4 linked regions of the Mus musculus genome follow. Each later gene encodes a partner of the first gene's protein in a complex. Links are inferred from orthologs where the notes say so. Each region holds a gene or a part of one and is shown in the gene's direction. Other genes may lie near its edges. The genes, in order: Rab7, Rubcn, Rilp and Pdzd8.

Region 1 (3,562 bases):
GGTGACTTTAGCTTGTGTCAAGTTGACATAAAACTAGCCAGCACAGGGCGCTCCTTAAATTGGTTCCTAACTGGCTGTGGTGGCACACACTCTTAATCCCAATGCCCAGGAGGCAAAAGCAGACAGGTCTCAGAGTTAAAGACCATCTCGTGGTCAGCCAGAGCCACACAGAAACCCTGATTCTAAAAAATGAAAGAAAGGAGGAAGGGAGAGAGGAAAAGGAAGGAAGGAAGGAAGGAAGGAAGGAAGGAAGGAAGGAAGGAAGGAAGGAAGGAAGGAAGGAAGGAAGGAAATAGGTTCCTTTGCTGAGAAAGTAGTGCTTAATCTTCACTTGTGAGATTTGTGAGTCTGTTTGGAGTGTTAATCCCAACTGCTGATGCCAGTAATGGACCCAGCACTTGAGGAGAGAGAGGGCACCGGCATCCGTTCAGCCCCTGCCCTGCTGTCTTGTTAGGTTAGCTAAAGGGTTCACAGGCCGGGGGCCAGTCTGAGTGAGGGCTGGGGCTCAGCTCCTGGCAGACCAGAGTGGCTGCACTGTAGACAATGCAAAACTGCCTTAATGTTTCTTCAGCTCACCTGCACTTTCTCCTCCCGACAGCTTCAAGGATGACCTCTAGGAAGAAAGTGTTGCTGAAGGTCATCATCCTGGGGGACTCTGGGTAAGTGTTTCTCACGAATCTGACCTCAGATTGGCTTGGAGCTTCATCCTCACTGATCTCAAGGCAGTTCCACATTCGGCTCTGGGCCTGGCCTCTATCCTTTACTGTTGGGGTTTCCTGTGTTTGGCCTATTGAAATGCTTAAGGAACCCTCAAACAAGTATTTTCTTGTTTTTGAAAGTGCCTTCCAGTGGGGTAGAGTATAGGAATAGTGTCTCCTGCCCAGGACTGTGAGAAATGGCATACTGTCTGAAAGGAGTCTCAAGGCCTTTGAGGATTACAGACCTCACTCTACTTCTGTAAATTCTAATTGTGTTGCAGAACTGGGTAGAACCAGCACCTTAGACCACTGGTCAGCCATTGCGCTATACCCCTGGCAAGGCAAGCACTACTGTCTTAGGCTGTATGTATGTGCACTCTTTGTGGAAAGCCTTGAACAAGGAAAGCATTGGCGCTTTCTTTAGGTTGCATTACCCTGACCCTACCCTTATCTTACTGAACACTTGGTTGGTGAGTTTTCTTGGTGAAAAAATTCCTTGGGAGGGACATTCTTAATGTTTTATTATGTATGTGCATATGCGTGTGGGTGTGAAGGTCCGTGCAAGAATTGTTTTTCCTCCTGCTCTGGGGGCCCTGGGATTGAATTAAGTTTTCAGGCTTGGCAATAGGTGCCTTTCGCTTTAGCCATCAAACAGGCCCTGTTTTGTTGTTTTGCTTGGGCTTTAGTTTTGAAACAAAAACTGTGGCTCAATGCCCTTGAACTCACTGTGCAGCCCAGTCTAGCCTCAGGCTCTCAGTGCTGCTGCCTCTATCTCTAAGCACTGAATTCCAGGCATGTGGGGCTACACCTGTCTTGGAACATTCCTTTCTGGCTACATACTGCTGAGTGGCTTCCTCCTGGTGTTACTTGACCACACTGAGTGATGCATAAACACCTGAGATTACAAAGCCGTTTGGAGTGATCTTATCACAAAGTTCCATTTAGGAGTGAGTGAGTTTGTGTGTGTTTCTTTTAGTAAAATGCTTTGTTTTGTTTTTAAACTGTTGCAGTACCGGGAGTTAAACCCAGGCCTGGTGTATGTCAGGCAAGCACTCTACCAACTAAACGCTCTTCCTAGCTCAGGCATGTTGCTTTGAACATTGTAAACACAAATCCCTTTCAGTCCCTTATTTGACTCAGACATGTGGGTTTTGTTCAATTTCAGTGTTGGAAAGACCTCTCTCATGAACCAGTATGTGAACAAGAAGTTCAGTAACCAGTACAAAGCCACAATAGGAGCGGACTTTCTGACCAAGGAGGTGATGGTGGACGACAGACTTGTTACCATGCAGGTGAGCCACTGCTCAGCCTGGAGCCAGACTGCCAGCTTACTGAGTCTTCTTTAAATGAAGTCTTCTTTAAATGGTGGGTGGGTGGGTGGGGGTGGAGTTGGCTTGCTTTCTTCCTTTCTGTGAGTTGTAGGGATTAAACACAGGTCATGAAGCTTCTGTGCGGAGCACTTCACCTCTGGGTAGCACCTTCTGTGCTGAGCCCTCGTGTAGGCCCAGTTGATTGCATCCAGACTGTCTGTCATACCTCCGTGCTTTTCAAACTTACCATTATATTTGTGGAGAATGGATAATTGGCTGCAAATAGTGTTGTTGGATAAAATAGCAGTAAAAGCACGGTCGGGAGCATGGTGGAGACAGAGCCCGAGCCCCATGCAGGCTGAGTGCACATGCTCCCGCCATGCATGAGCACGGAGCCACACCCCAATCCTAAATTTGAAATTTATATTACAAGACAACTAGGAATTTTTGTAAAATTTAATTTTAGCTACAGTTATTGTCTTTTTTTTTTTCATTTCTTTTCCCTTTCTATTTATTTATGTTTGTTTTTTCAAGATAGGGTTTCCTTGTATAGCCTGGCTGTCCTGGAACTCACTCTGTAGACCAGGCTGGCCTCAAACTCAGAAAAATCCACCTGCCTCTGCCTCCCAAGTGCTGGGATCAAAGGTTTGTGCTACCATGCCTAGCTTCTTTTTCCTTCCTTTTTTCCTTCCTTTTTTCCTTCCTTTTTTCCTTCCTTCCCTTCCCTTCCCTTCCCTTCCCTTCCCTTCCCTTCCCTTCCCTTCCCTTCCCTTCCCTTCCCTTCCCTTCCCTTCCCTTCCCTTCCCTTCCTTCCTTCCTTCCTTCCTTCCTTCTTTCTTTCTTTCTTTCTTTCTTTCTTTCTTTCTTTCTTTCTATAAGGATTTATTTATATGTAAATACACTAAAGCTGTCTTTAGACACTCCAGAAGAAGGCATCAGATCTCATTAAGGATGGTTGTGAGCCACCATGTGGTTGCTGGGAGAATTGAACTCAGGACCTCTGGAAGAGCAGTCAGTGCTCTTCACTGTTGAGCCATCTCTCCAGCCCCTTCTTTTTCCTTTCTAAACTTAGCAACCTACCGGTTTCTTCTGTGTTCTAAAATATCTTTATTTATTTATCTTTCTTTCTTTTGGAGGCATTGGTGTCTGTATTCATGACTGACCTTGAACTCATAAATTGCACTGGGGTGCTGGGATTAAAGTTCTGTAGCTTATCTAAGTGCCTTTGTTCAGTGCTTCAGCTTGGAAATCTTTCTGGGTTTTCCTAACTTCTGATAGCAAATATTAAGGTAGTAGTTAACTATTTAATTGTTGACTATCCTAAATTGATGTCTCGGTGATTAAAAGTGATTTAAAGCACTAGCTGCTCTTTACAGAGGACCCAGCTTCAGTTCTCAGCACTGCTGTGTATAACTTCAGTTCTAAGGGACCTGATACCCTCTTCTGCTCTCTAGGCAATTTGGTGCACAAGTGCAGGCAAACACATAAATAAAAACATTTTTATAAAGTTGAGTTCTGTAAGGCTGATTTAGTGTTTCCATATGTCTGCGCACC
Region 2 (3,562 bases), on another chromosome or scaffold:
AAGCGGCTGCGGTACTGTGAGTACCTAGGCAAGTACTTCTGCCAGTGCTGCCACGAGAACGCCCAGATGGTCGTCCCCAGCCGCATTCTGCGCAAATGGGACTTCAGCAAGTACTATGTCAGCAACTTCTCCAAGGACCTGCTCCTGAAGATCTGGAATGATCCTCTCTTCAATGTGCAGGACATCAATAGCGCACTCTACAGGAAGGTCAAGCTGCTTAACCAAGTCCGGGTGAGATAGCTGAACAAGCCGGGCCTTGGATGCCTGTTTCTGTCCTAGCTCCTGTTCCTGTTGGTGCAGTTGCCTTAGGTCACCACACTTCTTGTCACAGTCACCGTTCATGTTCTGAGGACTTTTCTTGTTTGTTCTCAGTGCTGGGGAGCACTGGCCCAGCACTGATGCCCATAGTGCTAGCAAGGCCTCTGTCCCAGAGCCACACTCACACAGTTCCTGTGTGCTTGTCCTGCCAGACTCGCAAACCCCGAAGCAGCTGAGACTCGATAAAACTGGGAAGCAAAGGCCATTTCTGCCCTCACGGAGAACAGGGCTGGGCATTTGAATCCCAGAGTTCTCAGCGGCTGCCATTGTGTCTGATGAGCACACTGAAGTGAGGTGTGGAAGGTTTGACTGAGAGGTGCTGTGTGAAGAGTGGAGGACTAGCTGCCCCTCTAACAGGTCCTTCTCTCTCTCCTCTCCTCCACCCAACGTCTTGTCTGCAGCTGCTGCGGGTTCAGCTGTACCACATGAAGAACATGTTTAAGACATGCCGACTGGCCAAAGAGTAAGTCTCCCGTGGAGGCCAGGGTCCTCTGGCTGCCCGTTGTCTCTTAAAGGCCTATATCCCAACTGCCCGTTGTCTCTTAAAGGCCTATGTCCCAGCTGTTGCCTACTTTACATGAGAAAGAGTTTGCAGAAATGTCTGAAACTAGTGGGAAGCCATGACAGTAATTGAATTGTGTCTCTTTTAAAAAGGACTATCTGTCCAAGGTGAGACACCATTTTCCAAGCTCACTCTACAGAATTTATAAATAAAATACTTTCGGTATGGAGAGCTGGGGTAGCCTAGAATACCTGGGCTGGCTGAACGTCTTTGTCCCCTCCCCTCACCCCCTTAGCTTCTCTCCTTCTGAGTTTGGTACGGTCATGCACCATGGGAAATGTTTATTTCCTCTCCTCCCTCTGCCTCTCATTTCTGTAGGCTCCTGGATTCCTTTGACGTGGTTCCAGGCCACCTGACAGAGGACCTCCATCTGTACTCGCTGAGTGACCTGACTGCAACCAAGAAGGGAGAACTGGGGCCCCGGCTGGCGGAGCTCACTAGAGCGGGAGCCGCCCACGTGGAGAGATGCATGGTGAGGCGACCTTGCTCTGCCCTGCAGCCGAGGCTTTGCTCTGGGCTTAGGTGGGGCTTAGGTGGGGCTTAGGTGGGGCTTAGGTGGGGCTTAGGTGGGCAGGGTTCCTGTCATTTAGCTCCTCATGCGGCCAGTTGACACTGAGAGAAACCAGAAGGGCTTGCAGTTCTCTAAGTCCGTGAGCAATAGGTTCTTCTTATGTGAAGAACCCGGAGTTAGAGGAGGGAGCGCTGCTGGGCTGGGGCAGGAGGATCTGAGTAGAGTCAGCCTGGGCTATTCATCAAGACCCTGTCTTGAGAAAACAAAAATACAAAAGCAATTAGGACAAGAGTTGATGCAGGTGTTGGCCCAGGCTAGACTGAGCAGCCTCCAGTGAAGAAGGCCACACTCAGTAGGACCTTGACCACAATCTAGAGGCTGCTGTTTTCAGTCACAGTCTCCAGCAGTTTGCTCTCTCTGTAACACCGTTTTCTTCTTTCTGGAATGAAGGTGACCCTTAGATGAACTGTCCTTCCCTCTTGAGCTTTTGAGGACTGATGAAGTAGCTTACAGTATCTCTGTAAATTCCACGTACAAGGGTCAACATGCTAGAAACCTGGAAATGATACTTTTAGGTCTGCCCATGTCAGCTGCCTGGTTTGTGGCCTGTGGCAGGGTGAGGTGTGTGTGCGGTGGGGTTGGGATGGACACAGTGCAGTATAGCCTGACTAGAGGGTGTTGTTTCTGGGAAACACCCTTACTTTAGCTTTTATCTTAATGAGTTGTGCTATATGTTTCAAAGTAAAAAATCTATACTGGAGTACAGCTTTGAGGACCATCTTCTTCGTACCCCCTCTTCGCCCGTTCCTCATCACTGAGGGCTGCTCCAGTGGCAAGGAATGCTCAAGCCTGTGTCTCTTGTCCATCCCTGAAGCTTTGTGTGTGGTGTCCAGCCCTGCTGTGGCTCTCATACTCACAAGTCCAGCCCGAGGCTGTATGTCACAGACAATAGACCCTTCACCTGCTCAAAGGTTTATTTATGACTTGCTTCCCCTCGCTGGAGTTCACCCTCTGGAGCCAGCCCTTCACTTTTCCTGTCACTCTCTCCACAGCTGTGTCAGGCCAAGGGCTTCATCTGTGAATTCTGTCAGAATGAGGAGGATGTCATCTTTCCTTTTGAGCTGCATAAGTGCCGGACTTGTGAAGGTGAGGGCCATTGCTAGATGGGAAGCCGCTGTACTCCCCGTGAGTCCTCTGTTAGCAGGAGTGTGGTGTGAGTGACTCCATGCTCCAGCCCGGAGCACAAGCTGTGGGGAGGAGCGGCTGTGGTGGGTTGGAGCAGCTGTGGTGAGGAGGAGCAGCTGTAGTAGGGAGTTGCTTCCAGCCCAGGATAATACGAATCATTTTCTTCTCTCTCCTTTTCAACCGGAATGAACAGAGTGTAAAGCGTGTTACCATAAAACTTGCTTCAAGTCTGGACGCTGCCCCCGGTGTGAGCGGCTGCAGGCCCGACGGGAGCTGCTGGCCAAGCAGAGCCTGGAGTCCTACCTGTCTGACTATGAGGAGGAGCCCACAGAAGCCTTGGCTCTAGAGGCCACCGTCCTAGAGACCACCTGAGGAATGCACTAAGCCCTTTGTGTAAGGGTCTGGCGAGGGTCAGATATAGACTGAGCCACACCTTCAAGGAAGGTGGGGCCTTTTAAATATATATATATTGTCATTTTTTATGACTTGTCTGCTGTCCAAGTGTAGGCAACCTTTCTTGGTTGATGGATCCAGTCTCTTGTGACAGCTGTCTGTGGGCACTGGGTATTTTTGTCAGGGGAATGGACATCGAGACCCAGTTCTGACCCGCTCGGCCTCTTCTACTAGGACCAGATCTGGTTACAGCTGCAGCTAACGATCATACCCACTGTTGACTTAGTTCCTCAGAGTCTGAGCCAGGCCTCTCTCAGCCAGCGACCTTCTCCTTTGCTGCTGAAGCAGGAGAATGGTCTTTTCTTAGGCCTAGTCCTAACAGAGACTAAGACTGTGCCCTGAGTCACGGGAGAGAAGGGGGGTATACAACGGGCATTCTGTCTGGCCACTTAGGTATACGGGGGGGCAGGGCAGGTAGGAACAGAACCATCCTTGTTCTAGCATCTTCGGGATCTCAAAGGGCAACCATGACTTCCCTGTTTCAAATATTCCTGGCATAGGTGGGCACAAGCTGGTTTGTGTACTCTGGTGGG
Region 3 (4,026 bases), on another chromosome or scaffold:
ATGGTCCCCGCCCAGTCCTCCTGGAACTACAACTTTATGGGTACGTGGTTGTGTGTGCCTAGGAAGTGTGGGGTAGAGACAGGTGACCAGCATGCTTGGTCATCTTGTCATCTTGAGGTCTGGCTGCCTTGGAAACGGTCCAGGGGCCCAGGCTGGGTGAGGCAGGCAGAACCTTATTAACTTCTGATGTTTCCCCTCCCATTAGGTGTTCGACATGATCCCAACATGAAATACGAGCTGCAGCTGGCAAACCCCAAGGAATTCTACCATGAGGTCCACAGGCCCTCCCACTTCCTCAACTTCGCCCTTCTGCAGGAGGGTGAGGTCTACTCTGCAGACAGAGAGGACCTCTATGCCTAGTTACTTCCTTCTGCTTCAGATCCCCAAAGCCTGGAGCCTCTTGAACGCCCTCCCCAGACAAGCTGCTGACATTCAGCAGTCAGCCCCTTTGCGTTCTGTGCTTGTGTTGTTGATAGATTGTAATCCTGAACAAAATGTAATAAATTTTATAAATAGTGCTTTTGTTTTCTTGCTGTTATGAGGTCAAATTCTGGGCATAGGCGTTTGAGGATTGGGGACTAGCTTGGGCAGTTGACAGCAAGGTACTGGGCCCTGCCTTCAGAGCCTTGAGGCCTTCTCCGCTGGAGGCTTAGAGGCTCCCTAGACTCAGGGAGCTGAGTTGGGGCTGGCTTATTACTTTGAGCATATTTGCTGGTTTCTCTGTAAAAGTACTTGGAGTCTACCTATTTTCAACATCACTTCTTGGACTGTGTGGTCCTCCTATAGCTGTAGTGCCCGGTCTCGTTCATTTTTGTAAACTGTGTGGTTCCTAGTGGGGGAACATACTTAAGTGACTGTCCCTGCAGTCCAGTAGAGGCTGTTTGCTGACCTTCAGTCTTTCACCTCTTGGCAGCCAAGTCCAGGGGTGGAGCCCGGGTCAGGCGCTATGGGGAGGGCTTGCCTGAAGTGACCACTTACAGCTCTAGTCCTCAACTCTTGGATACCTGCCTGGAAGTTGGCCGACCTGTATCCAGTGACCTTGTAGGGCACAGGGAGCCCAGAGCACTCTCCCACTCCAGGGCCTTTTTCCCTATTTGTTCCTCCCGGGTTGCTTCTACCCCGCCCCTTATGGCCCTAAACTTCCTGGGCCGGAACTGTTAAGCTTTTTCCTGCACCAGTTAAGGGTGTGGGTGGCTTTTGACCTTAAGAGAGGAAAAAATGGAGCCCAGGAGGGCAGCGCCCAGGCTACCCAGTCAGGCCTCTTCTTCAGTGGGCGCAGGGTCAGCCGCCGAGCTCGTGTACCATCTAGCGGGGGCTCTGGGCACTGAGCTACAGGGGCTGGCACGCCGCTTCGGACCCGACGCGGCGGCTGGGCTGGTGCCACTAGTCGTGCGGGCGCTGGAGCTCTTGGAAAAGGCCGCCGTGGGGCCGGCTCCGGACTCGGTGAGTCACCGGCTCCTCCTTTTACCCCTGAGAGCCGGCAGGCCTAACCCTGAGACCCCTGGCTCCCCCAGCTGCAGGTGTCCGCACAGCAGGCAGAAGTGGAGCTGCGGCGGCTGCGCGAGGAGAACCAACGCCTCCGCCAGGAGCTAGGCTCCGGGCCGCAGGGTGAGTGAGGGTCCCACCGGAGCAGAGCGAGCTGGGGGCAGCCGGGGCCTGCGTACCCCAGAGATCGGTAGTGCTAAAGACACCCCTTCCTCAGAGGAGCGCGCGCTGCTCCGACAGCTCAAGGAGGTGACAGACAGACAGCGGGATGAGCTTCGGGCACACAACCGAGATCTGCAGCGCCGAAGCCAAGAGACCGAAGCGGTGAGGGCGGGGCCAGGCGGAGTGGGGTGGGGCCGCTACGGCCCTCGGAGCCCCGCCCCTAGCTCTCTCGCTCCACCCCCTAGCTGCAGGAACAGCTACAGCGCCTCCTGCTGATCAACTCTGAGCTGCGGCACAAGCTGGCTGCAGTGCAGACCCAGTTGAGGGCCGCCCAGGACCGGGAGAGGGAGCGCCAGATAGCTCAGGATGGCTCCAGCCAGCTGGCTAAAGAACAGAGCTTGGAACCTGATGCGGCAACCTCAGATGACCCGGTAAGAGACGGAGCGAAGTCAAAATACATCCCAGAGCTCACAGCATTCAGCAGTTGATGACCCAGCCTGGGTTTACCTGGCATGGATGTACCATGCAGTATAGAAGGTACCCAGGAAGTTGGAAGGTAGCAACAGCAGTTGTGTGCTATGTACACCTATGTAGCAGCAACTTTGTCCTCTAAGTTTTCCCAGCAGACACTTCCCATAATATTATTGTGAGCGCTGGGACTTAGGGAAGAGCTAAGACAGACTGCTCTCTGACCATTCCTGACCTTGTACAGGTGGATACTCAGAAGCAGCCAGGGAACCTTCCAGAAGCTGTCCAGTGTGGATTCAGCAGGGAAGAGCTTAAGCAAATCCTTCAGGAGCGGAATGAGCTCAAAGCCAACGTGTTCTTGCTCAAGGAGGAGTTGGCGTACTTCCAGCGGTGAGGGACTGGAAGCCAGGATGCCTGTTCCTGGTCACCCCACCTTATTTTTTGGATCGTTTATAGATCAGCAGTGACAATTGCCAGGGTCCTGCTCAGGCACTGGGAAGAAGTAACTTCCACAGTCCTTGCCCTTCTGGAACCTCACTCAAACAGGGCAGCACCAGGGGTCACCAAACTGAAGCAGCAAGCCTTATCCTTAGGAGGGGCCATCTAAGCTCATTTCAGAGGTGTTGGCGGTATAGAGCTTTCACGGGTTTCCAGGGGAAACAGTGAGCAGAGCTCAGGTACTTGATTGACACCTCCTGTTGGCCTTCCCACTTTCTTCCCTTCCTGCTTCTCTAGAGAGCTGCTCACAGATCACCGTGTTCCTGGGCTTCTGCTTGAAGCCATGAAGGTGGCAGTCAAGAAACAGAGGAGGAAGATCAAGGCCAAGATGTTAGGGACACCTGAAGAAGCAGAGAGCAGGTAAGATCCTGCCTCTGTGCTCACCAAACGAACCCCTTGGCCTGCTGCAGTTCTGCTGTGCCCAGTGATACAACTTAGCTGTGCCTGGCACCTCACTCAGCCTGCTCTCCAGCTGCCGTCCTTTCCTCTGGAATCCACTGCTCCCGCTTGCCCCGGCTGCTATGCCTCCTGCTGAAGAAACTGTCCATGCTACTTCTCCAGACTCATGTTTCCTTCCTTGGCTGGATCTCTTTACTAAAGGAAGCTATGCAGTCTTGTGAGGGGCTGTTGTCTGCCTGGTTATAAAGAGTCCCTGATCCCCTCACTGTCCCCTCTCCAGCCCTGAGGCCTCTGTAGTCACTCCATCCTCCCCTGATGTTCCTGAAAGTCCTTCAGGAGGTTCCACACAAGCTGGACTCATAGTATCCCTTAGGCCCTGATATACAGCCCTTTCATTTCTTTATCCTAGTGAGGATGAGGATGGCTCGTGGCTCCTGCTCTCCAACGACAAGGAAGATGTTCCCCTAGTTCCTGAGTCCAGAATCCAGAATTTGTATGTTGGAGGAGGGGAGGGAGGAAGGTGAAGGAGGGGCCTGCCTGGATCTTCTCCACTCTTTCTTTCCACTCCACTGCCTTTCACGCTGTTCTAAGATCTGTCTTCCCACCTGCTTCTCTGTCCTCTGTGCCTTCATTTCCCTGTGACCTATGCTGTCCTCTTTCCTCCAGAACCCCCTTTTCACCTTTCTGGACCCTCGGCCTGCATCCTTGACATCTCTGCCTCCCCGGCTCAATGCACCTCTCTTGGCTTCCCTTCCAGCTTTGGCTTATGGTATCGGGGTGAAACTGAGGCCCCTGAAGCCGAGACCAGCAACCCAGCTTCCAGCAGCCTACAGAAAGGAGAAGAGACCCCACAGCAACCCCACCTGCAGCCTGTGAACAGCCCTCCAGCCCCCAACTCCTGACTAGTCCCCTGCTTTCAATGAACATCTTGGTCTGAGGGCTTCAGCTATGCAGGAGGCTTAACTCTGGATTCCAGCTAACTGTGTGTGGATGTGTGACCTCAAATGAGGATGT
Region 4 (3,562 bases), on another chromosome or scaffold:
AAGTGGAGCCTTGAGGGAAGTCCTTGGGTCACAGAGCTATTCTCAGAAAAGTTAAAGTAGCTCTCATAGGACCCCTAGAGCTTTCTAAGACAGTTATGAGGAGCCCAGCTGCGTCCCTCTGGCTTCCTGCAATGCTGTGTGCTTTCTCTTATACTGTTAGCACGGTAGTAAGCAAGGCTACTTATTATGAGATCCTCAGGAGAGCTGACCTGTGCCATATCAGTGAACCCCCAAACATCTAAGTAGACCCATTTTCTTCATAAATATTCTGTTCCAGGCATTTTTTTGGTTGTAACAAATAAGAACTAATGTATTCTCTTTATAAATAAATCCTACAAACCAAATGTACCAGCATATGCATTTAGTCCCAGCACTGGAAGCAGAAGCAGGGAGATCTCTGTAAGTTTGAGGTTAGCTTGGTTTACATAGTGAGTTCCTGGGTAGCCAGGGCTATATAGTTGAGACCCTGCCGGAGGGAGGGAGGGAGGGAAGGAAGGAAGGAAAAAAAAGTTTGGTAAAACTAATATGTAGAGCCAGAAATTCAAACCCCACTGAGTACAATAGTATTCCAACTAACAAGTGTCCTTCAAAAACTTTTTTTTTCAATATGTCGTAACTCTTGGGGCTTGGGAGAATAATCAAAATTTGGTGGGTTTTCTCCTGTTCATTAGAAGTTAGCTGCTAAATAGGTACGCATCACTGCCGTAAGGAAGATATTTACCTGTAGAGTTCATGTGAGAGAACTTAGAATTCATTCTTGACCCTATACAGATCTACCCATTTAAGCACTATGGCATGTTAGCATGGTGTGTGTGTGTGTGTGTGTGTGTGTGTGTGTGTGTGTGTGTATGTGTGTGTGAAAGAGAGAATGAATGAATGAGACTCTAAAGGGAGGTTAGGGGAGAGGAGACAGATTATCACTATCATTGAGACAAAAACATAAAAATTTGTAAATAGGTTAAACTATAATGACAGGTCTTTGAAACCTCCATGGGTAATTTATTTCTGGATATCAGGGACTAGACAGTTATCATTAGTATATTAAATATTTATCTTCAAGCTCTGGCTTATAATTGAGAGGTCAAGATTTCTAAAACTAAGGCTGACAAGATGGATCTGTGACTAAAACCCAACAACCCAGGTTTGATCCCAGAACCTACATGGTTCAGAGAATACCTACAGTGTACACATACACATTAAATAAAATAATGTTCCAAAGCCCATCTAATGACATGGACTATTCCTGCTGAATTTGAGAAAAGCAACAGTCAAGATCCATTCACAGTATATGATTATATTTACCATGTCTCAGCTTTGATACAAGTGTCAATTTTATATTAAAGTATAAACAAATGCAAATTCTGGCTCAATTCTTAATTTTTAAAAAAGATTTTATTGTATATGTATGTGAGTACACTGTAGCTGTTTTCAGACACACCAGAAGAGGGTATCAGATCCCATTACAGATGGTTGTGAACCACCATGTGTTTGGTGGGAACTATACTCAGGACCTCTGGAAGAGCTGTCAGTGCTCTTAACCAATGAATCATCTTTCAGCCCCCTCAATTTATAATTTTGTAATAAAGTATAAGCAAATGTAAATTCTAACAGTAGTTCTAGATCGTATGATTGGAAGTGTTTTTCTTTTGATTTTGTTTCTTTAATTTCCAGAATTTCTATTATAGGTATGATCCCTTTAAAAACATTGAATACATTGTGTTTCATGTTTTTAGAATATTTTTGTTTATTGTTTGGCAGTTTCATACATGTATGTATAATTTTTATATTTGATGTGTATATTTTGACCCTCTCTCCCACTTCCCCCAGGACCAGTGACCTTCATACTCCCTTATCTCTCACATCTTCATGTTCTCTTCTTTATGATAGACTTTTATTCTTTGAGAATTTTATACTTGTACCATGTCTTTTGATCACATTCTCTCCCCACTCCCTCCTCCAATTTTCCCAGACCCTCCTCAACACATCCTCTCTCCCAGTTTCATGTCATCTTTTCTAATTTTTAATAATTCCAATCAGTGCTTACATGAATGTGTGGGTATCGGGCTATCCCGTGGAGTATGGGCAGACTACCAATGATGGCCACACACCCAGAGAAAAATAACTCTCTCTTCCCCCAGCAGCCAATAGCTACTCAGCCAGACTGCCCCCAGAACACGTTCCTCTCGTTATTCCATTATTATCTCCTGTTCCTCTTCCTTGTAAGAACACATGTGGTCCAGTTGGTGTTGCCTGCATGCATGTGGGTATGAGGCCATACACGGGAGCATAGGCAGACCACCTTTTTTTATTGTTTTTTTTTATGACCACATTTAAGTCATCATAATCTGAAAGTATATTTATATTTGTTAGTAATGTCTTAATCTGTCACTTATCTGTAATTATAGTCACAATGATTTAAAAGTCACGACTGTGATACTCTTATCTGTATTACTTTTATCTCAATGTTTTCTTTCTTTTTAATCCTTTATCAAAGGTTGAATTAATAAAAGGGAATTTACAAAGTGTCGGACTTACACTTCGTCTTGTTCAGTCAACTGATGGGTATGCTGGGCATGTCATAATCGAAACTGTGGCCCCAAACTCACCTGCTGCGATGGCAGATCTTCAACGGGGAGATCGGCTCATTGCTATTGGAGGTAATTACACACTGTATAGTATAACTTACGTGTACAGAGAAACTACAAAATTGGCTGGAGAGGTTTTTTTTTCTCTCGTCTCCCTATTTTTGAAACAAGCATCTGTTAGTTTTATAATGGAAAAATCTTCATTATAAAGAAAATTGCAAAAGAGGCCTTAGCATGCTTGTAAAAAACAAGAGCCAGTTTAGTCCTGATGTTTAAACATAATTTCATCTTTAAACCACTTCACTAAAATTTTCTCATTTCCTTTCCCTTCCCACCTTCTCCTCTATGTATTATTAAATACAAAATTAAGAGCCAGATAATAATGTCTTCCTGTATGTCCATTACCACATGACTTCTCTCATCGTGTTGTAGTACTAGAATTGAACAGGAGAGAAATGAATATTCCTTACCTGAGAGGGAGGATACACCTAACCCTATTCTGAGACTCCATGTTATGGGAAAGGCCTGTGGTTTGTCAGGATGCTATTATTCAGAATGCAACCCAAATCTCTATGGTAAATACTGTATACCTTCCTGTCAGCTAGATGGTTGTAAATAATAAAAATAAAAATGAGTTATCTGCTTGAGTGTATATACATAATAGCGGACTCAAATGTACACAACAGCACAGAAGTAATCCAAGCCCTTTTCATATTTCATAGTACCTGGCCCACCTGGTGTAGGCTTTGAGCATATAAAAATGGCTATAATTTAGCTTAATCTTTTCAGAAGAGTATTGTGTGTTCTTTTACAGCTAAGACAATAAGGTGAAGCAAAAAGGAATTATCACTCAATATGTCAGACTCTGCTTTTGATTCAAATCCATCTTGACATTAAGATAATGAAAATGATTTAGTTAAGCACTTGGAGTTAAATTAGCATTTTCATGTGGAAATCTCTGATTGTGGTATATACAG

What was found.
Region 2: the proteins of Rab7 (region 1) and Rubcn are in contact, whole or in part, in a crystal structure (PDB 6WCW), measured with the Homo sapiens proteins. The link is inferred for Mus musculus from reciprocal best matches to the Homo sapiens genes RAB7A and RUBCN. Residues at the interface, in NP_004628.4 of Homo sapiens: Ile41, Gly42, Ala43, Asp44, Trp62, Gln71, Ser72, Leu73, Gly74, Val75, Ala76, Phe77, Arg79, Ser101, Asp104, Glu105, Ile108, Gln109, Ser111; in NP_055502.1 of Homo sapiens: His818, Asn821, Met822, Lys824, Thr825, Arg827, Leu883, Gln885, Ala886, Lys887, Gly888, Phe889, Ile890, Glu892, Gln895, Glu897, Ile900, Pro903, Cys915, Lys916, Arg931, Arg934, Arg938.
Region 3: the proteins of Rab7 (region 1) and Rilp are in contact, whole or in part, in a crystal structure (PDB 1YHN), measured with the Homo sapiens proteins. The link is inferred for Mus musculus from reciprocal best matches to the Homo sapiens genes RAB7A and RILP. Residues at the interface, in NP_004628.4 of Homo sapiens: Ser3, Lys6, Leu8, Ile41, Gly42, Ala43, Asp44, Phe45, Leu46, Thr47, Thr58, Trp62, Ser72, Leu73, Val75, Leu182, Tyr183, Asn184, Glu185; in NP_113618.2 of Homo sapiens: Phe248, Glu249, Leu252, Gln253, Arg255, Asn256, Lys259, Ala260, Phe263, Leu264, Glu267, Glu268, Tyr271, Arg274, Glu275.
Region 4: the proteins of Rab7 (region 1) and Pdzd8 are in contact, whole or in part, in a crystal structure (PDB 7F6J), measured with the Homo sapiens proteins. The link is inferred for Mus musculus from reciprocal best matches to the Homo sapiens genes RAB7A and PDZD8. Residues at the interface, in NP_004628.4 of Homo sapiens: Lys10, Leu14, Asp16, Ser17, Lys38, Ile41, Gly42, Ala43, Asp44, Phe45, Gln60, Trp62, Gly66, Glu68, Arg69, Phe70, Gln71, Ser72, Leu73, Gly74, Val75, Ala76, Phe77, Tyr78, Arg79, Thr98, Ser101, Trp102, Glu105, Phe106; in NP_776152.1 of Homo sapiens: Ile999, Lys1000, Leu1001, Val1002, Arg1003, Lys1004, Glu1005, Gly1007, Leu1008, Asp1009, Asp1010, Phe1013, Ile1014, Lys1017, Gln1044, Leu1051, Asn1054, Asn1055, Val1058, Leu1077, Leu1084, Gln1085, Thr1088, Ile1092.

Annotation. Positions count from the first base shown.
Region 1 is NC_000072.6:88,010,735-88,014,296, reverse strand, and holds part of Rab7 (ras-related protein Rab-7a), read left to right. Parts: intron 1-598; 5' UTR 599-606; coding exon 607-659; intron 660-1,863; coding exon 1,864-1,990; intron 1,991-3,562.
Region 2 is NC_000082.6:32,823,354-32,826,915, reverse strand, and holds part of Rubcn (run domain Beclin-1-interacting and cysteine-rich domain-containing protein), read left to right. Parts: coding exon 1-231; intron 232-719; coding exon 720-781; intron 782-1,198; coding exon 1,199-1,352; intron 1,353-2,443; coding exon 2,444-2,537; intron 2,538-2,769; coding exon 2,770-2,948; 3' UTR 2,949-3,562.
Region 3 is NC_000077.6:75,508,930-75,512,955, forward strand, and holds the start of Rilp (rab-interacting lysosomal protein), read left to right. Parts: upstream 1-1,164; 5' UTR 1,165-1,218; coding exon 1,219-1,443; intron 1,444-1,514; coding exon 1,515-1,608; intron 1,609-1,702; coding exon 1,703-1,809; intron 1,810-1,892; coding exon 1,893-2,078; intron 2,079-2,359; coding exon 2,360-2,505; intron 2,506-2,850; coding exon 2,851-2,973; intron 2,974-3,421; coding exon 3,422-3,505; intron 3,506-3,769; coding exon 3,770-3,914; 3' UTR 3,915-4,026. Other genes in the region: Prpf8 (pre-mRNA-processing-splicing factor 8), read left to right, coding at 1-40, 206-360. UniProt on the Homo sapiens protein: Rab effector playing a role in late endocytic transport to degradative compartments. Involved in the regulation of lysosomal morphology and distribution.
Region 4 is NC_000085.6:59,304,253-59,307,814, reverse strand, and holds part of Pdzd8 (PDZ domain-containing protein 8), read left to right. Parts: intron 1-2,494; coding exon 2,495-2,657; intron 2,658-3,562. UniProt on the Homo sapiens protein: Molecular tethering protein that connects endoplasmic reticulum and mitochondria membranes. PDZD8-dependent endoplasmic reticulum-mitochondria membrane tethering is essential for endoplasmic reticulum-mitochondria Ca(2+) transfer.